3 linked regions of the Oreochromis niloticus genome follow. The protein of the gene in region 2 interacts with the protein of the main gene of each other region in a pairwise test. Links are inferred from orthologs where the notes say so. Each region holds a gene or a part of one and is shown on either strand. Other genes may lie near its edges. The genes, in order: esrrga, pnrc2 and dcp1a.

Region 1 (10,721 bases), on a different chromosome or scaffold from region 2:
TTAGTTACATTCCTACAAACAGCCATGGACACACGAGTTGTGAGTCTTTGTGCTGCTGTTGGCTGTAAACTGACCAGAGTCCATAGCTCCCTCTGTTGGCTTGAAGTGAAGTGCAATTTCTTACTCTCACTCTCTCCGTCTGCCTCACCCCCTCTTTTCTACAAAAGCAAAGTTCAGTAATGTGTGAAATTTCCAAATTGCTTCATTTCACTTTTGGTACAGCTTAGCTTTTTAGTCCTCATTTTAACATTAAAATGTCAAATGTTTGTCCTGCTCGTAGTACTTACTTAAACCTACCTTAAATGCGTAAATGTTTATAAAAAAAAGGAAATGTTCTTTAATTATCAAGAACAAATGCTCTGTTTTATTATTGTTGAAAGTACTTTGTTTGCAGTTGTTGCCTCAGTCTAGTACTTTGTTCATGACTGGCACATGTGTCGATGGGTGGCCTGGGGTCAGCTTCCTAAGTGGCCGCGTCTTGAATTTGTTAAAGATTGTTTTGACCAGCAAAGACACACATACAACCGCTCACAATACAGGGCTCTGAATGAACTTGCTGTGGCCTATTGAGTAGTGTGATTGATGTCAGCGAGAGTTGCAATGGATAATTCTTCCATAGATGTCAACAGGCTGCCACCGCAGGGTCAAAACACACACACCCACACACAGATTTACACACACTGGCAGACAAGAGAAGAATGAGATGCCAGCAGTTACAGAGCTCAATAGGTTTTACATTGTAAATGAACTTTTAAAATGATGCCAGCAAGGCCATTTACACATGCATACAATTATTAATTATGATAAAATGCTATTTTTACACTGTGCTTTGACTGAGTTGCATATTTTTTGTTTTTATGTTGTTATTTGCAGTTATATTTCTGCAGCATTGTGCATGGAAATATTGTCTGTTACCCAGCAGTCACATATGCACACATCGTGGATGCTCAAGGTCTCTCCTTGGCTTTTTGAGTTAAAGGTTTGCATTTAAGATGTTTATGGTTTGTCCAGTTATAGAGAAAAGTGGCCTAAAGGGGTCACTGTCAACATACACACACTGACTGAGAGTCAATCAATAGTCTATGGGGGTGGGGAGGATAGGGGTCAGAGAAGGAAAAGAGGAGTGAGGCAGAAAGACAGAAAAAGTAACGGCTGTTATGTGTGTGCACTGGTTGATGGATTTTAAGGAATACAGCTCTGTTTGTGGCGTTGTGTGCATGACATGATGTTATTGTCTCACCATAACATTTTTTTCTGTATTTACATAAAAGGCAAAGCTTTGTAAGGCATCACTCACCACACATGCACAGTGAAAGCTGATTCTTAGACTGCGTTCTTATGTTTTACCACATTGCTGCTTGTGCTTAAATTATCAGTCAGTAGAAATCACTTTCAACACAAACTGCATAAATTAAAGAATCATTGAATATTTTGTAACATAAACTAACTAAAAATTACGCCTCCATAAACGCAACCAGTTCATCTTAGACAAATATTAATGATTTCTGTGTGCGTCAAAACACTGTTCTTCAAATATTTATATAGCCATTCGTTGATATGTTACAACCCACAGACGTTTAGGCTTCTAATTGTTTAATTCAATGTATGATTTGTAGTTCTTATTTTAAATAAATGTGTTAGGCAGAACATTTTGGACTTTCTGCACTGAAACAGAGATTGTGTGTGTGTGTGTGTGTGTGTGTGTGTGTGTGTGTGTGTGTGTGTGTGTGTACTTGTGTATGCACGAGTGTGTTAGACACTGAGGTTTTGGTAAAGGATTTGTTTGCACAGTAGTGACGGCAGCATTGATTCACACTCATCTTTGTCGATGCTTATAAGCCTCTGGATACATCATAACTGTGTGTATGTTTGTATGCCTGCATGTGTATGTGTGTACACAAACCTAACAGCTATATATCTGTAAAGACATGTATTTGAATTCCTATCCTTCTGTGTAAATGGCAAAGGTACATCTGTGCAAGTAGTCTGTGACAATGAGTGTGTTTGTTTTCGTATGTGGTCTCTGGATCTTTACTTTGTCGGCTTCCGAAACAACTTCTAAATATGTATTTATTCTTGTAAAGACCCTGATTGTGCCCATGTGAAGGCAGTTAAGCTCAGTTTCACAGGGTCTTTCAGCACCACAATGTCAAAAAATTCTCCACGTCACACACATGTATTAAGCTATAATCATATTACCTTTAAAATGGCATTTAACTGAACAGTACTATGGCTAACAGGTACTGAGTTCTCCATGCAGCTAGAGTAAGAGTTAGAGCTAGAGTGCTTTATCAGCAAAACCAATACACATATCCTACGCTACACTAAGAAGAATATGAAGAATATTTAGTGCGCTAACCTCAATGTTTTAGTAACAGTTTTTCTGTTAAGCAGTTGAAATGTTGAACATTGGACTCTGTGTTTGTCAAAGAAAAACAGGGAAAGAAAAGGCAGCAGTTACACACACATACACACACATGTACATCAAAGCTGAGATTGGTTTCAGGAAATATTTTATTATCTGTACTATTCCAAAGCTGCTAATCACAACCACTCTCTTTCATCTTTGCACCACCCCCCCCACCCCCAACAACACCACCACCACCTCCACCTCCTCCACCCCCTCCGATTCCATTCTCTGTCTCCCTCTATACTCCACACTTCTCTCTCCCCCGCCATCCCATGTGCAGGGGTACCCAAGTGTTGAAAAAGTCTAATCAAAAGGAGGAAGACGTTAGTTAAAAAGAAAGGAAAGAGGACAGAAAGAGTGCGTGTATCATTCAGAGTGTCCCTACAGGGTTCCGATTTTTCCCCTTTTTACAAGGCCCTTCCCGCTCTCCTTGCATTCCCTTTTCTCTTTTCCGCTGTCTCCTCCTTGCTCTAAAACTGAGAAGCGGTGAGCTAATTTTTCCTGGAGAATCCCAGTCGCAGTACCTATGCTCACATTCCAAGGTGCTCGGAAATACTGGGAATACACAGCCTCCTGGTATAGAGATGAAAGTGAACTTGACAAAACAGCAAGCAGCAGGGAAAACCTTGTTCCAATCATGCCCAAATCATTCCACAACAAAGGACAAGCGCTCTGGAATTGCTATAATCTCATATTTTACTGCTGGGCCGCGATGGGTTCTGCTGCGCTGTGCCTGTGTGTTTACGGTGTGACACAGTATTCAGGCTTTGGGTTCATGGTCAAGCATACACTTGTTTATTTGATCTTGCATTTCTCTGGATTTGATTAGGTCAGTTTTGTGTTTTCCATTTGAGCACAAATCAATATTGGGGTCCTTAAAAGATCCTAATAACATGGTGTTACTCATGTGGTTCAGACCTTATTTGAAAGGATTTTGGTTAAAACTTTTTTTTACATTGTTAGAAATAAATATATTGTCAGTTTTTAATATTGCAGTTTATGTGAGAATGTAATTTTACCAATGCAGGTACATGCAGAGAGCAGGAGTGAGCAGGAGTGACCAGGGTAGTGAGAGACCAGTGAAGAAAGGTCAGAAAGATGGATTGATAAAGAGAGAAAGAAATACAGTAAAAAGGAGAGCAGGTTGTCTTGCTTTAAACCTTTCTCGCACCTGTCTCGTTCTCCTCTCTGCTTCCTCCTTTCCTTCCTGATTCCCTCATTCTCTCTTTTCCTCCGTGCTCTTTGTCTGATCCCTCCCTCTCCACCTGCTCTTCTCCCTCTCTCTCGCTCTCCCATATTTTCTCCACCCCTTTCTCCGCCCCTCCCTGCAGCTATTGGTGAAGCACCCACCAATCACAGCACAACTGGGACCTGAGGGACTACATATGCAAAATGCTGCTTAATATTCATGAGCCGCTATCGGGGCTTTAAGTCGTTGATTAGGACAGCAGCACAGCTTTCTGTCCCAACTGCCTGACTAGCTGGCTGTGTGTGTGCCTATAGCCCCCTCTCTCTCACTCTCACATACACACTGCATACACATGCTCCCTCACTTCTACGCACACACGCAGAGCTGATCAGTCCAGGCAGCGCAGAGCCCGGTAATTGTATTGCTCACTCCAAGTGGAAGGAAGGACCGAAAGAGAAGAAGATCAGAGAAAGAAGAGAAAAGAAGAGAGAGGAGAGATATAAAAAAAAAACTTCCATTTTTTTTTTTGTGTTTAATTTCTTGCCATTTACCCTGAGGAGGTTGACATGACAATGACCCGGTATCGCCGATGGATTCGGTAGGACACCCGTTATCCGAGTGTTTTTTAATGCACTCTGAACAAGAGTAGGTAAATTTTACCTTTTACTCTTATCCTTTTATTGATCATCCAACTTGTCATTGCCATTGTCTTCCACTGTAAGTGACTGTGTGAGTCAGTGAGTGAGTGTATGTGCTGGTATGCAGCGGAGGTGGCCGGCACCGTGTCAAGGTTGTTTCTGCTGTCAGGTAGCACGCGTTCACTCTTGTCTTTGTGTGTGTGTGTGTGTGTGTGTGTGTGTGTGTGTGTGGCTGCAGTATCCGGACAGCAGCTCTTACTTAGTGGGCAGAGGAGCAAAATTTCTGTCCCTTCACCTGAAAGTGAGACATACGCACAAACACACCTGCCTGCAAACACACATTGTTTACTCCATTTTCACTTTCGCTGTTTTCAACAACCACTTTACTTGAAGTCAGACTGTTCTTGGGACAAACTTTCTCACTACATGTCTGCATGCGTGTACCTGTGCATGTGTTTATGCTTATGCATGTGTGGTTTAAGTATGTGTTCATCCGAGCAGAGAATCCGCGAGATAACAGGGCATTAAGGTTACAGGAGCAACGTGTAGGAAAGGGCCCATAAGAGAGGAGGGAGAGAGAAAAGGGGGAGAGCTGCGCTCTTAAATGCCAGAGGAGGTAGAATTTCAGACGGGCAGCTCAGCGTGTGGCCCCGCTCAGGAATTAGAGACAGTCACACACACTCTCTCTCACACTCACACACACACACACACAAACACACGAGTGCTGCTGAGCTGCTCCTTTCGCCAATGCTTTGCTCTTTTAGATGTATGTGCAAAATGCAGATTAAGTGATTGGCAGAGTGGACAGCAGTTTGCTTGATTAGATTATTGTGTGCACAATTATTTAAAAAACAAAATTTGAGCCAACAAACAAATGATTAAAGCATAGCAGTATTTGCTTAATTCTTTTCTTAAACAGGACAAGATAAAAACATTCCTCCGACACTGTGCGTGTGTGATTCAGTAGCCGAACAGACCTTTTTTGTCTGTATGTATAAAATTATTGGCATTCATCTTTTCGAATTTGAAAAGCTCATAAATGAAGCAAAGATTTTATGGTCATATATATATCTATAAATATATATGTATAGATTTAAAACACATGCTTAGATTAAACCCATTTCCACTTAGAACTAAATTTGAATGAGTGACACTAAATCAAAGCCACAGTTTAAGTGTTTTTTTACGGTAGAGAGTCGGAAGTGGGAAAGCTGAAAGAACAAAGTCAGAGCAGAAGCTCATGCAAAATGTTGTACTGTAATATTTCCCAAAATGGTATTCGTAACATTTTTGATGGAAATAGGCAATTTTTCATTTGCTTTCAGTCTTTCTAATCATTTGTGTTTTAAAGCACACATGCCCCACTCACTCGTAAAGCATGTTGAATATAGAGGCATTTTTAAAAGAATAAACGGAGATAAACTGTACCACTACTTTACATTAAAATATTATTTTATTATATTTTTAATTTAAAAATTTGTCTTTTAACTTTCAGTCTGTTTGAATTAAAATGTCATTTAAGCAAATATGAGAAATTGCCCCTTCTGAGCAAGTAAATGCTTAAAGAGCACAAATTAAAATGTATGTGCAGGATTTTTTTAAATGATTATTTTATTATCGTTGCGGTATGACCAATCAAGCTTTTAGAGAGTCTGAGAATATCAGTCATTTCAGTTCCCTTTTTAGAGGGAATAACTGAATTTCCAGCAAAGCAAAATCTGAAGGTTTTAACCCTGTGGATTGCATCTGAACAAGCTTTCTCTACGTTGGTCCTTCAACTGCAAAACAGTGGGGTGGATTTTAAGGACCTGTAACGGCTCAGGTGTAAGAGTCTTGATTTTTTTTGTTTTTGTTTTTTCAGAATAAGACAAAGAATTCAAATTTTTCAAAAACTTCTGAACTGGATTTGCTCCTTAGTGGACAAGAAGTGTGAAAAGTGTGTTTAGACATCAAGCATCAATATGCTCACTGAAAAACACACTTTCCTGATAGACATATAGCATGAGATGTCTCTGCTTTACCTGCGTGTGATTCAGCAAGTGTACGTAAGCTGTTGCCACTCAAACGTTTTCTAGAGAGCCCTCTGGTCCCGTCATCTGTCCGTCCGCTCCTTCACACATCCATTCATCCATCCATCGATCCATCCATCCACCGTTCTCTGTTCTCGGCTCAGGCTTTCCCTTCTTTGCTCTAAGGCACTGCTTTCCTATACTAATTAAAATATTAGGGATAATGATGATCATACTGATAATAATAACAACAAGTACCACTTAAGCTGTTAACATAATTGCATTCCCCTCATGCCACCATATACATAACATTTGCATATCATTAAAATATATTTCCCACAGTGACTTTAGTGATTTTGGTGTTTTTAACAGTGGGTGTGAGGGAGAACGGACGGGTGGTGAGAACTGCACAGTGGCCGATCAGTCAGGCAAAGGTTTTGTAGTGCAGTAATGAAGAGAAGCACAAGGGAGCACAAATGATTTGATTAGGAATTATTCTCCAATCTGATGTGTCTGGATTTAATTCTTTTTAAATACATGAAAATGTAGACGAAAGAAATTATTTGTGATTGTGAGTAAAAAAAAATAAAAATAAAAATCTGTTTCAGGTTAAACATTGTTGAAGTAGTTCATCAGACTAAATTTAGATGTGACAGAAAAACAAACTTTTTTTTTTACTTACACTAGTATATATAATATAATTCAGGCATCAAATTTTCACACGTAATGTCGTGTTGCTTCTTGTTCTGCTGCGACAAATGCCACTGTTTTAGTTCACGTTTGGAAAAGTGCATTGGCCATCATACAGAGATGTACTTTTCCTGATTTCCTAATATGGCAAACTACTTTATATGAAACTGAGAAAGAAATTCAATTGAGAAAAAATCTAACTCGAAGGCCAACCGTCTGACGCTTTGACCGTTTGTTGTTTAAATGTGCGACAGCAAAATATACATATGTTTAGTTATTCAGAATAAAGAGAAAATATGGCTTGCTTTTGATTAGACAATAAAGAGCATTTAATGGTTTTTTCCCATCTTTTTCTTTTCCTTAATCTTAGTCGCTGGACCTTATTTTTCAGCCTATAAAGGGGGATATGCAGCAAAGAGAGAGAGAGAGAAAGAGAGGTAAAGCTGACTGGAGGGAGGGACAGGGGGACCAAAGAGAGATTGCGTAAATTAAAATCCTTTTAATCTCCTTATAAAATCATTTACTTAATTCATCTGTCAAAGCATGTCAATATGTGCCGTGCTGATTTGCTGGCTGCGCGCGCGCGTGTGTGTCTGTGAGTGTGTGAGCGTGCAATTTGCATCTGTTTGTTGCCATCCGTGGTTTCGTGCCTGCATGCTCCCATTTTGTATGTGTGACCTATTGATGGCCTATATGAGGAAGTGTTGTTCTTTTTGTCTCTTTGCCCGCCTGTCTGTCCCTATGGAATTTGTTGTCTGTCAGTTTTTTTGCATTTGCCTGCAAACTCACGCGCAGAGAAACACACGCACTCGTGCTTACGGCGGCCTCGCTCTCATGTGAAGGGTCCGGGCATTCCAGTGGTAATTTGGTCCCGTAAAGAGACAGAGAGAGGTAGAGAGTGTGAGAAAGAGAGAGAGAGAGAGAGAGAGAGACGCAATGAGAGAGACAGACAGAGCGAAGTGGGAAGGAAGGGAGGGGGTTTGCTTTTGTCTGACACCAGCACCCAGGAGGTCCGCTGGACACACGTGTAAGCATGAATGCCCACAGCAACGCACACTCTTAACACTAATGCATAACAATAAACACAGGTTTTACCATTTGCAGGTTAAAGTTATCAAAATTTTAAAAATGCAGTCGCTTATTCTTACACACACACACATGCATCTACATATGTGGATGCAGATATTAAAAATGCATTGTCTCACACACACTTAGAAAGCCACTGAGAGATGACAGAGCAAAATGGGATGAGCCTTGATGATGTGAATTTGTCTGATTTATGTCCAATCCATCAGTGCTCTGTGTGTGTGAGAGTATGTCACGGGTCAGTGCCGGCCTTTATGTGTTGAAAGAGCAGTAAGGGAGACTGTACCAGATGTGACACACACACACACACACACACACGAACACACACTGCAATTAGCCATTTCACCACATTGGTGGTGAATCTGTGTGTGTGTGTGTGTGTGTGTGTGTGTGTGTGAATGCACGGTTGAATGCCAAAGCGGTGATCAAAAAAAGAGAGAGAGAGAGAGTGATATATAGTGAGAGGCAGTGTCGCTCATCTTATCTCCTCTTCTCCTCTCCACAGTGCTCATCCTCTCATTCCCCACATTCCATCATCCATACATCTCCGTCATCCATACATCAAAATGTGAATTCAATTATTATTACTATTATCACATTCTATCAAATCATTTATGCTCCGTCTGAGAATTACTCTCCGTAATGCTGCTGACTTTTCTGTCTTTTCAAATCTGCTACGACCAAGTATATAGTTTAAAGAAATGCAGAATAAAAAGAGAATGTTCTGCACCTGTGCAAATTTGAACTGTGTCAAAAGCACACAGGTCCCTTTGTAGATCCGTCTGTTTGATTTTAACAAACATTGCTTTAAACTAAATTACGTTTTATTAGAATTGCTATATACATTGTGGGGTTTCTTTGGTGTGTGTGTTATTGTTTTCAGAAAAGGAGTCACTAAATTTGAATTTTATCAACTTCAACTAGATGAGCTATTGAGTTACGCTTTAGATCCGGTGACTGGTGTATGCATGAGTGTGTGCGTACCCATCGTGTTGTGCTTAGGGCTTCTAATGCTGCTCCTCAGTCCTAATAGGAGGAGACAGCGCAGACCGGGCCACAATAGAGCAGATTTAGATGGAGAGGTGAGGTGTGTGTATGTCTCTATGTGTGTGTGTGTAAAGTGTAAAAGTGTGTCCATGAGTTAAAGAGGATCACGAGAATGGTGAAGGTTCAAACCCCTTGTCTGTCTTTGGCACTTTTCTGTTGTGCTGCCCATGGGAGAGCCCTATGGTTTCGCTGCTTGGGTTGTTCTCTCCCTCTGCACGGCCAAGCTGAGAGTATGATTAAATTGTCATTGTTTCGACAGTGTGTAAGAGGGGTTCAAAAAGACAAAAAAGGGAAGATACAGTAGAACGGGAAAGGGATAGCTACTAAGAGAGAGAGAAAGAAATGAATGACCATGCCGCCTTCCGACTGACAGTGAAATATTCCTCCTCTCATCCTCCCATCATGCTTCATGTGTGTGCCTGATGGGGAGAGAATGACAGACCAGCCCACACCCCACCTCATGGTTTAGTTCTCTAGTTTTTTGCTGCTTTTTTCATCTGCCTTGCACTCTTTTTCTTTCACTCTTTCTATCTCCTGTCTGTGCACTTGGTTTCTCTCTGTGGCAACTTTATCAGCTGCACCATACAAATAAACTACAATCACATGACGATTTTCAGAAGTATTTGTTCTTCCCAAATGGACTGTATATTCAGATATTATGCTGCTCAACAAAAGTGTATATTCTTTGAATCAGGGAATTTTGATTTCAAGTTATTAGACAAGATTTTACACTGAAGACTGAATACTGAAGAAAGGTTTGTTACACTTTCTTGCTTCCTGCCCCGAACGTATTAATTTCATTAATTAAGTTTACTCCACCCGCTTCATTATACACAAAAAATGAAACGTACATAACAACATATATATGTATATTTACCTCATTATTCACAGCTTTGGGTGTTTTTGTGAAAAGGAAAATGTCTCTAACAAATATGTTGATCACACAAAGTAACTCATTTATTTTTTTAATTTTATTTAAGAAAAAAAACAAGCCCAACAGCATCAGTCCTCGTTGGTCCCTCTAACTGTACCAACGGTTCAGCTTTGACACACATCCGTACATGTGTGAGAAGATGCCACGTGTTAATATACAGTTCATTATTTTGCACATGTAAAAACAAGAAAACTATGTGTGTTATTAAGGCCTTGTTTCTGTGCGTGTGTGTGTGAGAGAGAGACAGTGAGTGAGAGCGCATTTGTGTGTATTAACTGCGTTTACGCTTTCACACAATAGTTAAATTGTATTTGACATTGTAAAAACTTTCACTTTTAGTTTGATGTAGGTTAAATAAAATAGTTCATATACGTTTATTGCTTTTTCCAAAATATCACTCTATTTAAAAAAAACATTTTCATAGTTTCATCGCTGGCAACTTTAGAAAAGATCAGATGTTAAAGTATTTGTGCATGGAACATTTATGTGAATTATGTTTACATTAATTAAAAAAAATACTATAATCCTACATGGTAAAAACGCTTCTTTTCTTTAGGATGCGTGTTCCTCTGCATAGCTGATCCGCACTTTCATTCATGGCAGTAGATAATTCATTTTCTCTTTATCCCTATCTTCCTTCACCATTCAGCGCCCTCCACCCACCCATAAGCGCACGCGCGCACACACACACACACACACTCCTCTTCTCCCTCTACAC
Region 2 (10,721 bases):
TCACCGATTTACGAAGGCCCGGCCAAACGAACCTAGAGCTGACCAGCTTGACCGAGGCCCGGACGCCCGGATGAGAGAGGGCGTGTACGGAGTCGAAAACGCGACGACGCCACGAAAGTGGAACTACAGGGCGTGGTCGGCCGGTGGAAACGTCACAAAGCAGGCTAGGCCCGCCGTTCCACATGGGTCTGTCCTCCAGTACAAGGCCCGTTTGCTCAGACCGAAGGGCAAGGACGTCCGGGTCCGCCCGTTGGTCAGCGGCCATAGCGTCAAAGTCTATGCCAACATAAACGGGAGAAACCAGCGGGGGGGATAGACAGTCAGCCACGCAGTTGGACTTACCAGCCACGTGCTGAATGTCAGTTGTGAACTCGGAAATGGCTGCCAGCTGGCGCTGCTGGCACCCGCTCCACGGGTCAGAGACCTTGGACATCGCGAATGTCAAGGGTTTATGATCGATGTACGCGGTGAAACTCCGACCCTCTAGAAAAAAACGAAAATGCCGGGTCGCGAGGTGCAGGGCCAGCAACTCCCTGTCAAAAACGCTATATTTGCGCTCACTGTCCCTAAGCGTGCGACTGAAAAAGGCAAGCGGTTGCCAGACACCGGAGACCCGCTGCTCCAACACTGCGCCCACCGCCACGTCCGACGCGTCGGTGGTCAACGCAATCTCCGCCGACGGAAACGGGTGGGCCAGCAGGGCGGCGTTTGCCAGCGCGGCCTTGGCCTCAGAAAATGCCTGGATGCGTTCAGGGAGCCAGTCAATCGGGTCCTTAGCAGTTTTACCCTTCAAAGCAGCATAGAGAGGCTGCAGCAGGTGCGCAGCTCTGGGGAGAAAGCGGTTGTAGAAATTGACCATCCCCAAGAACTCCTGCAGCGCTTTAACGGACGCGGGACGCGGAAAAGCCGAAACGGCCCGGACCTTGTCCGGCAACGGAACCACACCGTCAGCGGAAATGCGGTGGCCCAAGAAATCCAGAACCGGCAAGCCGAACTGGCACTTGAAGGGGTTGACGATCAGGCCATGTGCCGCCAAGCGCTGGAAAACCTGACGCAAATATGTGCTGACTCTCAGAACAGCTGGCCACCAATATATCGTCAAGGTACACGAAGACGAAAGGCAGCCCGGGCAAGACAGAGTCCATCAACCGCTGAAAAGTCTGGGCGGCGCCTTTCAGGCCGAACGGCATGCGCAAAAATTCAAACAGGCCGAAAGGGGTAATAACGGCAGTTTTTGGGACGTCTTCGGCGCGCACGGGAACCTGGTGATACCCCCGCACCAAGTCAATTTTAGAAAAAATCGAGGTGCCGGCGAGGTGGGCGGAAAAATCCTGTATGTGGGGAATGGGGTAACGGTCGTTCTCCGTGACATTATTCAAACGGCGAAAATCCCCACACGGCCGCCACCGACCGTCGGACTTGGGCACCATGTGTAGCGGAGAGGCCCAGGCACTATTCGAGCGCTGCACAATGCCGAGGCGCTCCATAGCGGCAAACTCTTCCCGAGCGACGGAGAGTTTCGCGGGGTCGAGGCGGCGCGCGCGTTCGAACACCGGGGGACCGACCGTCGGAATATAATGTTCAACCCCGTGCTTCGTTGCCGTGTTTGAGAAATTAGGAACAGTCAGTGAAGGGAACTCAGAGAGCAAACGCTGAAAAACATTCCCAGAAGTCACCAAATTAGCCCGATTCAGGGGCTCGATGGCGCGAGTGAAACAGGGCACTGAAGAAAAAGACTGGGCGTCGATTAAGCGTCTGTTAGCGACATCGACCAGCAGTCCGTGGGCACAAAGAAAATCAGCGCCCAAAATAGGTACAGAGCTAGCGGCAACAACAAAGGTCCATTGGAAATCCCGACCATGAAAACAAACAGTCACGAACCTTTCCCCGAACGTTGCGATGGGAGAGCCATTAGCCGCAATAAGCTGCGGTCCGCAGCCCGCTGCTAAACTGTCGGCGCGGACGGGGGAAGGAGGCTCTTCTGGGAGCCGGAGTCGACCAGGAAACGTCTCCCGGAGCGCGAGTCTTCTATGAAGAGCAGTTTTTCTTTGTCGCCAGCGGTCGCGGCCGCTACAGCGCGCTGTCGGGGCCCGTGTCCCAGGGTCGGAAAAGCACAAGGCAGCAAGCAGCGGCGCGCTCTGGGGCCAAAACGCTGATGGTAGAAACAGCGGTCCCGTCCGCGGTGTCGCTGTGCCGCGACCTTTGCCGCCAGCGAAGGAGCGGACACGTCGGGGCAGGTCAGCTGGGAAGTAGAAGGCGCCGCCGGCGAGGCTGGAACTAGGTCGTGATCGTGGAAAGCGCGGGTAGCCAAGAGAATACGATCCGCGTCCTCAGCCAGGGAGCGATAATCCTTCGTGCCCAGAAGCGGAGAGTTGGCGAGGCCGGCTCTCACGGCCGCCGGCAGCTGTCGGAGGAAGATGTGGGCGAACAGGAATCCCCCGTCGTCCGGACCGAGAAAGGACAGCATGCGCTCCATCAGTTCGAGAGCCGTACCGCCACCCAGGCCTGAGAGGGAGAGGAGCTTCTCGGCTCGCTCTGCGTCGGAGAGGGCATAGCGCCGAAGAAGCAGCTCCTTAAGGGCGGCGTACTTCCCTCGGGCGGGTGGGTCCCGGAGGAGAGTCAAGGGCGAACTGAGCCTCCACGTGCACGAACCACGACGGGGGATCGTGAAGCCAAAAGTCCGGCAGCTCGAGCGGCACAGCAAACGCAGCTGCAGCCGGAGGCAGAGGGCTGGCGGCTGCTGATGCATCCAGAGCGGAGTCGGTGCCACCATCGGACTGCAGCATGTTCGAGTCAGGGGTCACCAATGTGGAGGTAAACACAGACGACACGAGAGCTCTCGATTAACACTCCTCGTTTATTCCTCATCACAACACAACTGAACACTTTTCCCTCCAAAACATAGCAACAACACTTCCTGAGAACTGGGTGTGAGTGGAACCCTCCAGTGGTCCACCACAGTGACATATTTTGATTGTGCAGAAAGTCTGAGACGTTTGTACAGACATGCCTGTGATATTGCAGACCAGGTGTTTATGGATTCATTTATGAATTAATTCACATATAGGGAGGTATTTTCCCTAAAACACAAGATGATAAGATGACAAAATAACCTTATAGAAAAAATTCTAGTTTAACAATCCAGTTTATCCATTCATGGTTGCTTTCATGGTTATTTACATAAATGAAAAGATTTTAACCATAAGTTGATGCAGAAAATTCAAATTATTGCATGAAAACCTGCACTTGGTGTCCCTGCCCCCCAAAAAGTAAAATGAAACCTATACCCGTGATTGCAAGGAAGTCATTAATAATTCAGAAATCATGCACTGCTATTTCTGGTGTGGTGATGCCAGCATTAGTCGAAATAAATAAGGAGTTAAATGTATTTGTACATTTAAACAGCTTGTTAGATTCATAAAGCTGTGAAATAAAAGTGAACTGAGCCTTTGCTCATGTAATGACGGAAAGCGGGAAACCTGAGAGATGTTGTTGAAAACTGCCATTATTTCTCATCTGTTTTGTAAATCAGTGGTTTGTTAAATGCCACATCTTTTAAAAATACATTTGCTAAATGTACTACTAAAATAAAGGGAAACGTGTTGAGGCGTTTTTATCATTGGGTTATTATAAAATGGCTTGAAAGCTTCAAATCTTCAAACTTAGCGAGTCAAACAACCATGCGCTGTAGTGTGCAAAGATGATAGAAAATAGTTCTGTCGACTATACGGCAACAATAATTTTTTCATTTGAAAAGTATTTTTTCCTGTTTGGTTTCAGTGGTTCATACAATATGCTCTGTGGGCATTTTTCACAGAAAACCGTCTGTGGTTAGTACATCTTCAAAAAAAAAAGTGTTATGTGAGTGTACCAACTTCATCTGCACACTCTGGTCCCGTAAAAAGTTAATAACTAAATAAATCTTAAATAACAATAGGGAAGAGAAGGACCTCCAATTTAGTGTGTCTGTCTTACCCAAACCCACTTATAGATCTATTTCACCATGGGTTTCATTTTAATATTTAAATTCTGTAAATTATGTGTTACTTTTATAGCGTATTAAGTTTCTTTGCTAAGTAACTAATGTACAAAAATGGTACTTCCAGTAAAAAAAGGTTTCATTTGAATATATTTACTGAGAGTACAGGCTGTCTTTATATGTATTGAACTTATTCCTGAGCTGTGTGAAACTGCTTCTGTACTTTCCCCACTTCCCTTTGCGTGGGCATATGACAAACATTTTGCACCATTCTAGTTCATATTCATAACTCCAGTCACTTGTTTGTAGGCCAACAGGATGCCGTAAATGATAAGGCCAAAGATAATCCGTAATTTTGTTCTTTTTCTCTGTGTGAGGAAAAAAGTTTCCATCCAACTTTCCAATTCGAATGTACACTATCTGTGTGACGTGTTGACACTGCTTGGCTTCTGCAGCCAGTCAAATATGGCGAGTAGTCCTTTCCACCCCCCCATGTGTTTCTAGCGACCTACAGCGGTCTCTGAGTGACCTACTTTCCTTACATAGCTGACTCTTGATTGGCACACCATTTCAGAGATTTCTTGCTTTGGGGAGTGTCCTGCCTTGCCATGGCCTTCAGCCTTCAGCAGCGTTGTGCAACTCTTTAAAAATCCAGGCGAGAAAAGAAGGCAAGGCTTCAATGACACAGACATTACTTAACCCCTTAGCCCTGCGTGCACTCATAAAACCTACTGGAAGACTTTGCCCATGGAAGTCAAAGTCCTTTGAAAAGATTGGGAGGAAAAGTGAGACCAAAATCAAAGGGACAAACTGAGGGTAATATACGTAATATAGGCCCCCAACCCTTTTTAAGACCCCCACCCAATGAATTTAAATAAAACAAAACAATTTGGGGATGGGCAACCGCTCATAGACATTGTTATTACAGCCTGTTGCTGCTGTGTCAAGTTGGCATAAAAGGGGTTAACCTGAAAAAGCAAGAAATGTGATACAACCAAACCAAAACAGTTTCCTGTAGCACAAACGGTGCTTCAGTAAATCTAAACACTGGACGTGTTTACAACCTAACCGAAGGGGTGGCGGACATGGCTTGGTGTCTTGGTGTTACATAACACTTAACTGCCTCTATGCTCACTCTAAACCTTTATGTAATGTTTTACGTGACATCTGGGGCATTTCCTATCTATTACGTTAACTTCTAGAGCCCGAAAGTGGTATTTTTTCCTTCTTTATTTCACTTCTCTCAGGAAATACCCGAGCTCCAACAAAGGCAAGGAGAGGAGGGTCGGCGATTGACGTCACCAGTCTGGCAACAGGCAACTTGCCGCCTGCCTCTTCGGTGATTGGTTGTTTATTTCGTAGTCGCTTTGTGATTGGTTAGATTTGCGTTGCAAGGGAGTACATACCGCTGCTGTAGATTCCATTTTGTCGCAATTCCGAGTCGGGAGAGGGAGAAGTGAGATCTCTTCACCGGCCTTTAACACCAAATAAGCTTCGAGGGTGACGGATTTGTAGGAGATATAGCTTGCTGTGCTTCCTACATAGTCCGTAGAGGGAGTTTAGAAGCTAACTGTAAATTCTTTTCTGACGAAAGGCTTTAACAACCAAGCCTGAAGAAGTCGGTAAGAAACAGTTTTGTACCTCGTCGCCATATTAAACCGAGTTTCTTTGTTTTGGTTCTGTGCCAAAGTAGAGCGTCCTAGATCATAAAAAAAACGTTAGAATTTTAACCAGTGGATTTGCTAATTAATTCAATGATCTTTTATGAAGGGTATAAATACTATTTCGTTTTATTATTAAGTTACTACACAAGAACAAGGGAAAAATTGGTCGCAGTTTAAGCCCAGCCTGAGCAAACAGAAGTGGGCTATGATGTCGCACTTTTCTTACATAACATTTTCGTGTGCTAATCGCTATAGTTTACAAGTTATATGCAGTGTTTTTATAAATGTAATGGCGAGGAAATGTCATTTTGTCGGTACTCTAATGTTATGTAATAGAATATTTGAAGAAAACGTCAGTTCCCTGTCACACGTCACAACACCGTGAGCGCTATTGTTATGTTGAGTCCTCTCTATTTAGCATATCTAATGGACGTTAAGTCCTGTCAAGTTAGCATATCTGATAAGCGTTTTTTTGTTAATGCCCTGAAGGGTCGGCGACTTCTTGGAGAATCGTGCGCCGAGGTGAATTGATGTTCAGCTCGGCTTCACGAGAAAACAACGCTTATTGGCACATGAAAACCTCAGACCCTGCTGGACACAAATGTGCAGCGAGAGGTAGACAGAAGACTACTTCGAGGACCTGGGGCCCGATTGGAGGAGAAAGATTGAAGAGAGACGTCTACTCGGTTAACTTTTTGACAACAAAGAGGTGAGCTGGCGCTGTTTTTCTTGTGTCCGTGTGGGGGATGGGCGAGCCTCGCTGTCTGGTGTTTCTGCACGTAGTCTCTGTACTTGTTTTTATTGTGATGTGGTGCGCCTGTGCTCGCGGTTGGTAGCCAACAACTTACGCTGTAGTTGCATACATTATTAGCGTGAATGGAAATGTATAACCAGAGTTTATTTTTAATAATACTATTCTCACAATTTAGGTGACACGTAGAGCAAAAGCAGTATGGGAGGTGGAGAGAGGTACAACATTCCAGTTACCCACCCTGAACGCCCTTTGGCCAAGAAGAACCACCAGCTTGGCCGTGCAAAGCAGCGAAGCCGTGACCAGAACGGAGCAGCTGCATCCGTAGGGGGGCCAGGGGGCCTTCACCACCATGGCCACCGACGGAGCGAGAAAGGCGCTGCCTACCACAGGTCTCCAGAGACACGGCAGGCCGTGTCTGCAGAGAAGAATGCTTCTGTCCGTTTTTCCACCAACTATGATCAGAACTGGGAGGGTGCAGTGTCTCATCTCAACACACTCCTGGCAACCCAAGGCAGCCCAAGCTATGCAGGGCCTAAATTCAGTGAGCCACCTTCACCCAGTGTTTTGCCCAAACCCCCTAGTCACTGGGTGTCTTTCCCTATAGGCTCCTGTGACAACAGGGAGGTTATGACCTTCCAGCTCAAGAGCCTCCTGAAGGTGCAGGCCTGATGGGGGTGATACCAGTTCTTCATTTAAAGAAAAAAATAAGCCAATGCATGGACCCACCCACCAGGAACGCCTCAGTTCTGTAGTATTTTTAGCTCTTTTCTTTTTCTCTCCTTTTTTGGCTGACCTTCAAAGTTGGTGGATGCTTGACAGGAGCAATGTTTTGCAATTCCTGTTTACCATCCATTTAAAAAAAACTGATCATTTAAAATTTACAGAATTGCAGCCTTTCTGGTCGGTGATGCCTTTAGTGGAGTTTCTGTGACTATGACAAACTGGATATTCTTTGTACTTATGTTTTGTTTTGCTATTTTTAATCTTGGCTGCCAAGGCAGATTGAGTGTGCTTTTTTCCCCAAACAAGGATGGTAACATTAGTCAGGTAAATTCCCATCACTTTTACGGTCCACTTCTTTGGACAGACGTGGTGTTTCATTTATGTTTCTATGAAGAATGATCTTTGGAGTTATCTCCTTAAGCTTTAGGTGCTAAAGCAGGTTCATATTTGTAGCAATTTTATTTTTTTTTAATCAAGGGCCCACTGTTGTTTATATATCACATTCATTGTTTGGCTAAAGAAGGCACTCAACTGCAGTTCTGCAGGGAAAAAAGATATTTTACAGGAGATGAGCTGTAGTGTAACTACAGGTTAATGGTATAACCTCAAACGAAGGGTAGTAAGAGACCATGGCACACTGGCTTTGGACCACCGACTCACGTACCCTTTTTTATTGCGCTGTGCGCACATGCACTTGGAGTTGAGTGTGTCCAAGGTCTACAGCACTCTTATCATAGCATTATTTTGTATAAGTGCTTTCTGTTGTGGTTGTTGAAAGATGTATAATGTGCTGTGTATAACCAAAGCAATGTTTTGCTTTTCTTTTTTTGGACATTTGGGCGGATGGCAGTGTTGCCATTTTCACTTGCCAACTCGAGGTGAATGGTTTGACGTCTCCTTGATCACCTGTTCATCTGTTCTGATCAGTACCGTTACTGCTCCTCAGTCTGCCTCTTAAGGACAGTGCCTGCAGCTCAACATGCGGAAGGGGGCCTTGCTTAAATGTGGGACTACTGAGTTTCGTTTTCTCAGAAAAAACCCCACATTGCCTGGTCCTGTTGGCTGTATGCTTTTGTGCACAAGGCGAGACAGAGCTGAGGAACATTTCTGAAGCGGCCTAAGCGCCTCAACGTGAGACAGGAGGCTGGTGTTTGTGTTTACAAATAAGCCTCAATGGTTAACTACCCCATAATCAACAGACACTTGCTGCCCGTTGTCTCTTGCACTTCTGTCCCTTAACCTTCTGCACTGCAATCAGACTGTTTTCTTTTTTTCATAAGTTACAGGCCAGGATGCTGTTCAATTAACGGAGGCGTAATTGACTATCTTCTATGGATTCTCTTTCAGTTCTCTGTTGAGGCTCTTTGCTTTCCCTTTGCAGAATTGGAGCCATTTTTGGCCAGCTTAAAGATGACAAAACAAAGTATGAAAGCTTGTTAGTGAGTTCAAGAGCCATGTAAATAATGAACTGTATAAAACACTTGTAGCATATGTACAGTTGCAGACCAAGTTTGTGGCCTGTTTGACAAAAGTATTTTTAGTAATAACACTGAATGTATGAGACATGCTAAGGTCATGTCTTGACTTCAATACTGAAGAATATTTTTGTTAAAAAAAAAAAAGCTGCCTATAGCATCTATCAGTACCCCTACACTCTGATCTTTCCAGAGCTATTGCACATTTTTTTATTGTGTATTGTGCAGTGTAGGTTTAAAGATGCTACATGGGAAAAACAAGTAAAATAGAAAAAAAAACTCAATTGGACTCTAGGAGACTTGCATATGTATAGATTTGAGTTGTGAATGTGCTTACAATGGTGTGTAAGCATAGCACTTTTTTATTATTATTTTTTTTTTTTTAACAAAACAGAAAAACTTTGTGCCTAAGTTAAAACTCATTCTGAAACTGACCATAATCATTGGTGGAAATTCCCAAGTTGACCAAATATTTTCCAGACATTTTCGGTTCTCGGCTGTTCTTCCGCCTGCTGACAATTGAAAATGTCTATTATTCTTTTCTTGGTTCATGTAAACTTTTTTTTATTTTCCTGCCCAGACTAAATCATACATGGCAGTCTCCATATTCAAAATTGAAATCTTTCAGTGAATTGGCTTTTTAATTTGTCCCTCGGATGAAATGTCACCAAGAACAATGAAATGTGCCCTGTTTACGATTGGTGTTAATTTGTTACAAAATGTAAAACAAGAAAGCACTCTTTGAATTGATGAAAAACTTGAACGAAAAAAGAAGAAAAAACTAAAACAAAAAATTAAATCCCCTCCCCTACCCCCCTACTTTGTGTTTTGAGTATTTTTGACTTGATATAGTAACACTTGTTTGACACTACCTTTACAACACAGCTTATTCAACTAGAGCAGTGTAAGAATGTATTTATTGACAAAAGATATCAGGTATAACAGTTTAAACAAGGGAGTTTCTTAGGGACACGAAAAACAATTGATTCTTATCTTTAGTATATTATTACATAACAAAATGACTCTATTATTGGGTACCAGCTGTATCAGCATATCTTTCATTGTCACAGCAATCACAATAACTATAGTATACAAGTTGGCCTGCTGAAATTAAACCAGACATTTAAGACTAGGGCATGTTGTGAATAATGGCAAAACAGGCCTTCAGTTTAATTTAACACATGTATCAAAAGAAAGAAAAAAAAAAAACAAAGGGCAGGAGCCAAATGTGCTTTCCTTACAGACATAACAAAATTGTTTATTTACCTTTGGCAAAAGATTCCTCCGTATTCAAATAAGAAATGAAAGCAGGAAGCACAAGACTCCTTTCACACATGCACACCTTTCTATAAATACAACCTTTTAACATGTCTACTTGCACCCTGGTCTCTTCATAAAGGTCATAACAGCAGTTCTTAACAGAGTTGGACCTTGAAGCATTCAACTTTGAGTGCATGCAGTTGCATTTATAGATAGTGACGCACAAAATCACTGCATGAGTTCCATAGCTCACTACAGTAGTAGCTTATATCCAATCATTTAAAAACAAAAAAACAAAAAACAAATTTACAATAACTTCAAAGTACTCTTATGTTACATACTTTCCCAACCAGAAGCTAGCCTTCTCTCTCTGTGTGGGAGGGAATTGGTGCAGTTCTCAGCAGCAAACGCAAAACTCTTAGTAATAAAAGCAACAATGGCAGAGGGAACCAAATGTTATACACACTAGAGTCAATACTGATAATGCTTGTAGCTACAAAAGCAAAAATCTTGTGCACACATACTGTGGTTCTCCTGTCACTGCTGCTTGTACGTCTGGGGAAAAACAAACAAACAAAAAAAACCTGGGAGGAACGTAACAGAACATTATTAACCAGTTAATTAATCATGAACCAGATTAATGAAGCCAACAATGTTAAGTAATGCATGTCCAAAAATGGCTAGAGGTGAACATTAAACAGAACCCTCTAGAAAAACATAAACAGAGGGCTCTGGAGAACAGTCTGTCAGTGGCCTCCAGACTTGCGTCCAGCCCAGGACCTGGAGCGAGAGCGTGACCGGGACATGGATCTAGAGTAGGAGCGTGATGGGGATCTCCTGACAGACTGTTTCTGGGATGGGTGGAA
Region 3 (10,721 bases), on a different chromosome or scaffold from region 2:
TCAAATAACAGAAAACTAATCAAAAACTATTTTGATCATGTATTAATCACTCAGGTTGTTTAATAAGTAAGATTATGAAAGTTTGTTGGAAGCTATATGATTATCATATTTTGACAACATAGTTGGCTGCAAGTTTTGTTTTGCCGTTGCTAATCAGCTGGAGCCATTTTAGCTGTTTTTAAGCTGTCGTCATCGTTGAGCTTTGCAAACAGCAAACAGTGTAAGGGGGGGCTTTTTTTGGTAACTATTGGGATTTTAATGCAAAAACAAAAAAGTGACTAATCGGATGAAAAGAAGACTTTTCTGTAAAAATTACAATCCTTAGACCTGGTAAACATGGAGATGACACAGCTCCACTGTTTGTGATAAATATCTTAGAAATGTATCAGGAAACACGGGCTACAATATATCTAATATAATACTGGTATATGATTGATTCACAACATGGCCCATTTCCCTTTCCATTTAGTTAACATTGATTGCCCCAAACTGTTCAGTTCATCTTAGCCCCGCATGCAAACCCTGCAGAAAACCCAAGCAGCACTGATGGCTGTGACATAAATTGAAGGCACGTATTTGGGCGTCTGTTTGCAATGTTCCTTGCAGCATTCTCTGCTGCCAAATGCTAACTATGTATGGAGTGACAAGGATAAAAACCTGCCCCTTCTAACTGTCCTCCTCCACACTTTCTATGTGTAGGAGTGACAAGAATGACAAAGCTTTAAACATTTAAAGAGAAACGAAAATTGGAGCTCAAATCATTGCTTTGTATGTGTGTTGTACCTTTTCAGGCTGCGGTGCGGTGTGGGGATCTGTAGTGCTGACAGCTGCTTTTGCAGTCTGTTCAATGGACACATCTGTTTCACCTGCTTGGGACTGCAATTATTGCACAAACATAAAAACATTAGATTATATTGAACTGATCTCTCCATCTTAAACTGACAACTCCACACCTGAAACAGACCAAGGTTATGTACCACTGTAGTAACTTATATGGATATTCACACAAGTTTGTTTTTGTTTTCAAAATTTTCTACAAATTATGGCTCAAATTCTGTCATACACTATAGTTATACATCATGTGATCATACTCGTGTGATAACATAAGTCAGATGCTACGTTAACTGTCTGTTTGCCACCTCACCCTCTGGTATTCTTCCTTGGCTTTGCTGAGCAGCTCCAAGATATCGATGCTGCGGGGTTCTGCGACTCCATTGGTTCTCCCCGGCTCTGCCCTCTCAGGTGACTTTTTCTGGGCATGGTCTGCTTCTTGTTTCACAATCCTGGCACAGAGTTAAAGCATGACATATAGCCTGCACACACAACTGTTGTTTGTTTAGTCAGATACTAAGTACTGATCATGTTGGGGTCAGAGCTAATTTACTAAACAACCTTACTTTGTTTTTTTAAGTGAAATTACTCAACTTATACAAACCATGCAATGAAAACCAAAATATGAACTAGACAATCCTGGCCTTCACAAACTGCATCTTTGCTTCACAAGAGCACAATACTGGCACAAATCAACAGATTTCCTAAGTGGACCAACAGATTTGTTTCCTTTTACTGCACCGTAGTCAACTTGGGAGTGACGTGACTGCTCCTTTTACCTCGCAAGATGGAGATGGCAGCCTTACTTTTAAGGTGAAGCCTGAATCTTACATCCCGCTGCTTTGTTGGTTCATGGTCTCATTTGCTTTTCATGGGGCTCCTATATTTCTGTTTAATTTGAATTATTCTGTATTGAAAACTCCTTACACTGCATCAACTTCATGGCATCTTATATGCCGAGTTCTTTAAACCCTGCATTTAGTGAACATAACAGACCTCCACATTTCTAGAAAGTACACATGGTAATTCATTGTGGAAATACAAATCAAACTTGATAAGTGGAAAAAACTGACAAAAGTAAAGCCTTGCCCAATTTCATCCACTTCATCCATCAAATGTCCGGTTACTTACTTGACCATGAGCTGAGCGATGCGTTGACAATCCTTCTTGTCATAGAACCAAATACTATAGATACCCACTGTTAAAAACAGACACATAAAATGCATTTAATAACACTGACAGCAGACATCAGTTTATACAAAACTCTTTAAAACAAACCCAAACCTTCATAAATACAGCTAAAATAACTATGTGTTTTTTTTTAAAACCATTAATTTAGTCAGCTTTGTGACTTAATGTAATTGAGCCATCAAAGAAAACACTGAAAACAACACTAAATGAGCACTGTACATGACTGCACATTAGTGGACCTTAGGATCAATGAGAATCTGACAGTTCAAAGCAGTGAAGTTACAAAACAATCAAATACAAAAAGGAGAAGTTCATTTTTAGCGAGCTAACACAGCATTCACCGACACCAACTGGAAAACAAGCAAACTGCACATTTGCAGTTTCTGATGAAAAACAACAATTTTATATGAAGCTGCTCGTGCTTTGTATGTGTCTATGTGATGAAACACTGGTGTATTCAAGTTCCCTCTAAAGCCTGAGGTAACCTAGCAACCCAAGCGCTTGCCTCCCTGGAGCATCCCCTGCTACCAACGGGAACACAAAGTGTTGTAAACAGGTGTATGCACGAGTCCAAGTACACACCTCACCAAGACAGACATCTGAAACTTTGAGCGCACGCATCAGTCTGCAGATGTGTTTGAAAGAGATTTCAAACACACTTGGAGCAGCATTAACATCCCTCTGAAGAATCCATCCTCTCTGTGTTCGACTCTATGCTCTTCAAACAAACATCTTTCAGCAATATCAGCCTTCATTATTTTTAATTGGAGAGAGGAGTCTCAGGAGCATCATCTACATCCTGCTCTCACTTTCTCTCACAAACCTGAACTCTACCTGGAGAGCAATCACAAACAGCAAAACAGACTTCAGGCAGAGAACAAACAAAGGCTCCTCAGCCTGTAACTTATCTTACTGAAAAGATCAATTGGGCAGTGCAAACCTTCATGTGGAACAAATGATCAAAGACTGTTTACTCTGACCCGCCTTACAGTGACCATCAGCTGTCAGACGAGCATCTTCACAGACTGAGGAATACCGTCAACCACTTTATCTGCCTGCAACTCAACACACTTTGAGGAATTAAAATGAAAACAGCAGCACTCGGACTCCTGTGAAGCACCTGGAAAAGCTGTTCCGACTCGGATACCAACAAAAAAAAATTACATCATGTCTTCCATACCAGGCAGGCTGATAGGCAAGCCGAGTCCTAAAGGGGAGCAGTCCACTCTGACGCTGAGCCTGGCCATGTTATTTTTTCTCATTAGCAAACAAATGGGAAAACAATCCAACTCCTTGTTCATTGCCTTAATGAAACTTCTGTTCAGACTTTTGATAGATTACCTCGGTGGGAGCACTGTCAGTTACTTTCTGAGGATTTGAGGATTTATTTCAAGCCTTTTCATCTGATCCTACTCCCTGCTAAACTCTCTTCATAACGCTAGACGATTTCACTGGAATAAGTCATCAGGAAAAACTGCAACGCACATAAAAATATTTATATAGTAGAAGCCTAATTCACCCCTTAGAACCCAAAGTCTTTTTGTTTGTTGGCCCAATACAGAATGAAAACTGTGGCCAAACCAAGCTGAATACTGTGTGGTTTGACAGACCAGTCTGAGGCCATGAATGACAAGGTCTTCCTCCTTGATTCTCCAAGATACAAGAAGGACTTCAAGCAAAAGGGAGAAGAGCTGTTCCAGAGAACACTGGGGAGGTGTCTGTCCAGCATTTTCAAAGGTACTAATGTGTTCTGGCATTATTGCGTTTGAGCAGGAAAAATTAAATAAAACCAATACAGCAAACAAACTTAAAACAAAATCTACAGGTAGAGAAATGCAGAAATTCTTTGAACACAACATTTTTCATTTTTTTAAGTTCATGAAATAAAAACTAAGAGTGCAGTAACATTTAGAGAAAGGTCGAAAGTTTACTGTCTGTTTGGATATTTACTTTTTTCAGTTAACGTGTAATTTTTCTTGTAAATTATCATCTCTTTTTGTCTAAAGCAGAGCCTTTCAAAGCTATGGTATGTGTTTCTCTTCGACACTACCTTTTGTGATACAGCACAATATTATGGAAGAAACATTGTACTAGAGAAATATTATGTAGCTGAGAAACATTGGCTGATATTCTGGGATAGTGGTCTTTTTTGTTCCCTCAAACTTCGAGAAGCTGTGAAGTACTGCAGCACATCCGATTTCAGTCCAAGCATACACAGAAATATGTATCTCCTGTACATGACATCTGCTGTTTCTGTGTAACTGGACTACAAAACACTCACAGTTGCCATTTCTGTAGAGCAAGAATGGATCCTGTAGCTGAAACTCCAGGTCTTTATTGATTGGTTCTACAAGGTTCTCCGTGCTCAGTCGATTCATGATGGTGAAGCCATGGTGAGGGGAAGCAGACCTTTCAGGGACAAAAAACATAAAACATCACCTCACTGATAAAACATCTCTCTATGTCGATTAGTTTTAGTCATCCATGAATGATTTTTTATGACAAAGAATTAGCACATCTAAAAAAAAAAAAGTTCACTGATTTTCAGATCAGTTTGGCCTTTTCATCCCATTTTTGTTTCTTTAGAGTGGCTTCTTGATAGCCACCCTTTCAGTGAGATCATTTCTGATGACACTACAGTAAACAGTGCATGGATCAATTGAAAGACCACATGCATCTTTCAGGTCCTGTGGCAGGTCATTGCTGGACATAGTACCGGTTTTGTACTGTACTGTTCTTGGCATCCTGAGCTTACTCCATGGCCTCATTCTGGTAGCACATGACCAGAACACCGTAGTTGCCTAGTTTTCAATGTGGAGGAGTAGCAGCTCAACTCTGAGTCCCTTGTGAATAACTGAACTTCTCATCCTATCTCTAAGGGACAGGCCAGCCACCTTTTAGATAAAACTCATTTCAGCTGCTTGGATTTGCCATTTCATTTTATTTATTTATTTTTTGGGGGGCATTTTTGCCTGACAGACAGAACAACGAAGACAGACAGGAAAGCGGTGTGTGTGTGTGAGAGAGTGAGTGAGTGAGTGTGTGCGGGGGGGGGTCAAACCCTGGCTGCTGCTCTCTGGCCATGTGGTCACCTAAACTGCCACGGATGGCTGAAGGTAGGGATGTAAGATTGAAAGTTTCCCTTTTGGACTCTGCTCTTTCTTTACCACCGCGAATCTGTAAACCCCGATCAGTCCATCAATTTCACGCTCCCCTCTCCCCTCAATTGTGTACAAGATCCCATACCTGGAGGGAGCACTCCACCCTTTTCCAGCTGAGAACCATGGCCTCAGGCTTGGAGGTAGGTTGTAGGATTCTCGTTTACTATATACATTTTGTAAATGAGAATTTCAGAGAATTACATAATTCTCAATTCTATGAAAGATATTCATATTAATCAATAACCAATTAAATCGGTTGCTAACATTTCGTTATTTTCAAATGAATACGTGAACAGCCCTCAAAACAACGATGCGCATTAAAGCTGTTTATCAAACAAGTCTTTACACTTCAAGTGGAATTAATTTACTAAAACTTTTACTTATTAATTTCCTATTTAAACAGGCTGCAATTTTCGTTCTGTGAGCGAATAAAAATCACACGTAATCTAATTCGTGTTTGTTTACAAAGACTGAGGCCTGCACACGTGCGTAGAACACGTCAAATGACAGCGCGTGAAACGTAAGAACAAGTAAACAAGCCCTCGCGGTCAACGCGTTACATTACTATAAAAACCTCACGTGCTTACCTTGCATAAACAAACAGGGTGCCCTCGATTTCAGTCTTCTCCTGTAAAACAAAAAAGTGAAGGTATGAGTCAGAAACTATAAACATGCTGAATAATAGCAAAGGACGCTGTTAGCCCAACTATAGCTAGCGCATAAAAGATTACGCTTATTGGCATTTAAAAAAAATTAAATAAAACAATTATCAAAATGACAGTGGTGGCAAAACACAACGTGTGTAAGCATTACCCGAATAAAGTTCACTTCCACAAATATGATCAAATTTCTTTGTATTTTTTGTTTATACAGAATAGCTAGCATGCTAAGTCAAATACTTAGCTAGCTTTGACGGCTTTCTGCAAAACTCTGTACGTTACTTACAAACTTACCCACTCATTCGCCTTGGAGTTAAAGTTATAGAGAGCCACCTGGCCGGTAACATCGAGCAATTTGTTTATGTATGGATCGTGCCTCTGTAGAGCAGCTAAGCTCATCATATGTCCAGCATTTACGGTCTCCATCTTGGATATGATTGTTGCTCCCGCACGGACGGAATTCAGCAGACACATATAACTTCCGATGTCCCCGGAAACCACGGCTCTTTAAAAAAGTTTCCGAGGCACTGATTTATTCCGCATATTAATTCGAACTGTAATTCTGGTCAGTCGCATTTAGCTAGAGCTTAAATACAAAATGTTTGTACGAAAAAAAAATCTGGTGACTCTTTTGAGCTTCAAAGTCGATCAAACAACGACAACAACAACAACAACAATAATAATAATAATAATAATAATAATAATAATAATAATAACAACAACAATAATAATAACTCATGATAATCGTGGCATGATTAGATATTTAGGATAGGATATAATTTCCAAATAGTAAAACCTATTTGAGGAAAACCTGTTAAAGAAAAACGATATTTATAGCTGTGTGTTTTAATTCTGAACCTCTGTAACACTTTATGTCTTCTTTAGTTTATGTTCTTTATTTGAAATCGCACTCATCTATAGTCACGTTAATTCCGAACTTTATTCGAAATGGCAGACTGATAGTGAAAAGTTAAAACGCCCCTGTGTCCTGGCGTGACCTCTTTGTGCTTATTGTAATTATTTGGACATAATACTTTAAACCCATTGCATGCATAGTGGGATTGTGCAGGATTGCCGTCCGGACCGAGCTGCAGCTGCCTCCCTCACCTGCAGTTTATGGAACAGTGGAGCAGGATTATAATCTGGGGATTACGCGCCACCGTGAAACTTTATCCCGCAGGCTCAGGTAATCCAATCACGGGTAACCTTCCAGCACCGCTCTAACATCCCATTTCCTCTCGAATCTTCGCGGAGAGAGGACAGAAAAAAGCGCAATGAGGCCCCCGAGAAGAGCCAGGTGATCTAATGCCGTTCATCATAAGGGCAAGACCCCTGAGGGGTAAGTCCGAGCGTTTAACTCTTCAGATGGATAGGATAGGATACGGACATGGTGTTCATCCTCAAATACAGAAATTTCCCTCTTAAGGGAAAGTATAGTTGTCACCATTTGTTTCTAGCAGATTGTTCACTGTTCCGACTGGTTTCTTTTGCGTAGTCACGTGTCTCATGACCTTCATCACAGCGCTGAACCGAATCGTAAAGAATAAACAGATTCGGAGGTTTTGAGACCCGTGGATAGTTTTAAAGTAGAGACAGTCCGAGGTACACGGTTGTACTTTAAACGACCTTTAATTGCAGCCTTGCAACAGTTTTTAATTTAGGATCATACAATATATATAGTGAGATGGATATACTGATTTCTCCCTGTCTTCATTGCTCTCTGATGTCATCGCACGACTTTATTCTCCAGTCAGCTGTTTTGTTTTTAGAGGGTTCTTTTTAAAGCAACATCTGGCGTCTAGAGTTAAAAACATTTTAATGTTTACGTTGAGATGATCGCATTCGCTCTTTGCAAGTTTCCCAATAGGCGGCAACAGGTGCATTTCCAGTTGGTGGGCGCGCGTGATTTCAGCACAGTGGAGCCCACGCGATTGCTCCAACTTGTGTCAGTCCGTCCCCAGCCACAGAGAGGATAATTGACAGCAGTGGATTGACTGCCCCTGCCAGCGCGTCCTCTCGGATACGCCGTGAATCTGCAGGCAGGCACCCGGATGTGGCGAAAATGTTTGGCGCTCCTCTCAGGGTCTGCGCTCGGAAAACATTTTATGATTCAGGTTAAAGGCTCTGTTCAGGTTTCGCGCCTTCGACACCTTCGGACGGTTTTTCCAACGATGAGTTGGATTTAAAACGGATCTTTTCGATGTGGATTCGAGGATGCAAGAAGCAGATGAACAGTCTGAAGGTAAAAAAAAAAAAAAAAACCCCAAAAACGTGCGTGTGGAAGCGCAGGAGGAGAGTTGGAGCGCAGCAGAGAGAGAGGGAGAGGGGGCGAGAGCGCTCGTTCGGTTTATTCTCTGGATTTCTGATTAATCCGTGTGATTATATGCTTTGAGTCGTGGCTGCTGCTGACATGTTTTTTTCCCTCCCCAACTTATTCCAGTGCAGGGATTGTGTATTAACACTGTAAGCGCTTGTAGGCTACATTATTGTGATAACATCAGTTCTCAGATCCACTGGGAAGCGAGTTGAGGCTAGTTCTCCGAAAAATGGTTGACTATAACGGTCATTCTGAAACCATGTGACAGGGTGCTTTGAATATATTCGCTCTCCAGAACAAGCTGCGAGACGCTAAATGAACTTTTTAAGTAAATTCCTTCTCTTCTAAGTTTTTCTTTTAGAGTTTAAAAGCTGTCCAAACAAAAGCAGCAAAACTCGACCACAGCAACATAGTCAACAGCTGTTTTCCAGCATCTTGTGACAGATGTGCGACATCCAACAGAAGCGCTGGGTTAATTCCTTTTACATGTCGGACAGGCTGTGACTATTATTAACTAGCAGCGTGCACTTGTTCTGCTGCACCTGTGGTGGTGGTGTATCGCTGTATGAGAAGGGGTGGTGATGAAATGTTTTGAATGCACCTCTCACCTGCGATCGCGCTGACATCAAGCGCAATTAAAGTGAAGTGATGTTTCGGATAGACTTCCCCGCATAATAAACTATCATGTTTTGACTACACCGTGAGCGTCGAGTCATGGTGACTATGATTTTGCACAGACGAGCCCAGAATATTGATGAAAAGTAATAAAATTAAGTAGCTTGCCTGAAATCTGATAAAGGAACCAACTTTGTGTAATCATTACCTTTTAAAAGAAAAGCTTTATTCTTCTCAGATTTTGTGCCTCTCTCTCATATTGCACATGACCCACACAAATAGATTTCTCATTTTTTTTCTTTCTTTTTCTTTATTTGCTTAGTTGTGTGTTGGAGCTGTTTTTGCTGGATGACACGGTCAGTCTATAGCTGACAACACTCCCCGATGTGACTGTGCTATAGAGTTGCAGTGTGCGACTGTGTCAAGGGCACTGTCTTTTTAGCTCATGGTCTGCATTGATTTTAATGACGCTCTCTGTCTCTCCCATTCATGCAGGCTGTTCTGCTTTCTCTTTCTATAGCTGTCTTTTCTGGGCTCCTTTCAAGCCCGTCATCACCATAATTATAATCACCATAATCACTTCTTCTTATTTTTCTGCCCATTTTATCTCTGGATGGGTTCTTAGAGGACAGTTAATTGCATGTTCAACAAGTAATTGTACAAGGCAAGTTTAAATGTGAAGTAGTGATAATGTTGTCGACATTATATATGTATGTCCACTGCCCTTAGGATCCTAATAGACTTTTGCAAAAAGCTGAAGTGAAATTCTAGCAGTTATCTTCAGTCGCCTCATTCATAGGGAAAGCATGTTGATGTCCTTGTTTGAAAAGCACTTTAAAGACTGACTGATTTTTAAGACCAAGACTATGGGTATTATTTATGAGTCCTATCATGACAATATTGTTTAAAAGTAATCTCATTTTATTGTCACAGCAGGTTGTGGATTACACCTTTATGTGACCAGCTGATCGTTGAATTTGTAGACTTCCATCACTTTGCCAACAGTGAAAATGCAGAGTGCTTTCTGGTGGGCAAAAAATGCAACATCCAGACTAATAACATGGCTGAAGGGTATTTTTCCCATCGCTTGTTCACTCTTACACTTTGAATTTATCAGCCATTATATAGTAATGCCTCTGCCAATATATGGACTAATAGCTAACATAGCCAATATATCAGAGACATATGGCAGCTGATATATCGGGACCCAGCCAAATATATATATATATATATATATATATATATATATATCGTTTACACTTAATTTCTTTTAGATTTTATTTATAATTTAATAATAACAAACAAGCAAAACAATGTAATGTTCCTCACATCCACCCCTAAGATTACAGGTACAAGACAGAAAAACCCCCCCAATTTGATATAATTACATAAACAGTATAAATGATAGGGATGGGGGGGAGTCATTCTCCTTAACTCACCATCAGTTCATGAGTGTGCCATTATTATGTACATTAATAAGACAAAAACATCTGCATTATGAGTGAAAGGCAGCCAGGTGGTTCTGAATCTTTCCAGAGACTTGGCTCTACTGTAACTCAGTTTTTTTAACACAGCATAGAAAGCATTTCTCTGACCCAGATTTTAAAGGATGGAGTCTTGTCTTTTTGACAATGCAAGAAAATACATCTGTGAGACGTTAAAGGAGCAAACGCAATTGTCTTTGCTGGTGCTGCGGAAATCGTGACCTCCAAAGGCAGGAGAGCCACAAGATGGAGATATATGGAGATGCTACTGTGTTTTGTCTACACAAGAATGTCAGGGCCTCAAAAAATATTCTTCCGAAAACTGTTCAATGATTGGCTGTGGCAAAACATGTGAGCTGGAGTGGCTGGTTCTTGATGGAAGTGTAAACACGTTGAGCTAATATAAGAATATATTTCTGCAAGTTTATCATTTGAATAGTGTAGATTAAGAACACATTTTAAG

Evidence for each region.
Region 1: the proteins of pnrc2 (region 2) and esrrga interact in binary tests that used the Homo sapiens proteins (3 or more experiments, as listed by UniProt). The link is inferred for Oreochromis niloticus from reciprocal best matches to the Homo sapiens genes PNRC2 and ESRRG.
Region 3: the proteins of pnrc2 (region 2) and dcp1a interact in binary tests that used the Homo sapiens proteins (3 or more experiments, as listed by UniProt). The link is inferred for Oreochromis niloticus from reciprocal best matches to the Homo sapiens genes PNRC2 and DCP1A.

Annotation. Positions count from the first base shown.
Region 1 is NC_031965.2:26,536,406-26,547,126, reverse strand, and holds the start of esrrga (estrogen-related receptor gamma a), read left to right. Parts: upstream 1-3,863; 5' UTR 3,864-4,188; coding exon 4,189-4,244; exon of another isoform or gene 4,245-4,248; intron 4,249-10,721. UniProt on the Homo sapiens protein: Orphan receptor that acts as a transcription activator in the absence of bound ligand. Binds specifically to an estrogen response element and activates reporter genes controlled by estrogen response elements.
Region 2 is NC_031976.2:27,487,021-27,497,741, forward strand, and holds pnrc2 (proline-rich nuclear receptor coactivator 2), read left to right. Parts: upstream 1-5,392; 5' UTR 5,393-5,601; intron 5,602-6,132; 5' UTR 6,133-6,352; intron 6,353-6,572; 5' UTR 6,573-6,595; coding exon 6,596-7,066; 3' UTR 7,067-8,569; downstream 8,570-10,721. Other genes in the region: srsf10a (serine/arginine-rich splicing factor 10), read right to left, coding at 10,602-10,721. UniProt on the Homo sapiens protein: Involved in nonsense-mediated mRNA decay (NMD) by acting as a bridge between the mRNA decapping complex and the NMD machinery. May act by targeting the NMD machinery to the P-body and recruiting the decapping machinery to aberrant mRNAs.
Region 3 is NC_031984.2:24,732,925-24,743,645, forward strand, and holds the start of dcp1a (mRNA-decapping enzyme 1A), read right to left. Parts: upstream 6,320-10,721; 5' UTR 6,317-6,319; coding exon 6,137-6,316; intron 5,812-6,136; coding exon 5,771-5,811; intron 4,432-5,770; coding exon 4,304-4,431; intron 2,030-4,303; coding exon 1,963-2,029; intron 1,284-1,962; coding exon 1,145-1,283; intron 877-1,144; coding exon 784-876; intron 1-783. Other genes in the region: cacna1db (voltage-dependent L-type calcium channel subunit alpha-1D), read left to right, coding at 8,057-8,084. UniProt on the Homo sapiens protein: Necessary for the degradation of mRNAs, both in normal mRNA turnover and in nonsense-mediated mRNA decay. Removes the 7-methyl guanine cap structure from mRNA molecules, yielding a 5'-phosphorylated mRNA fragment and 7m-GDP.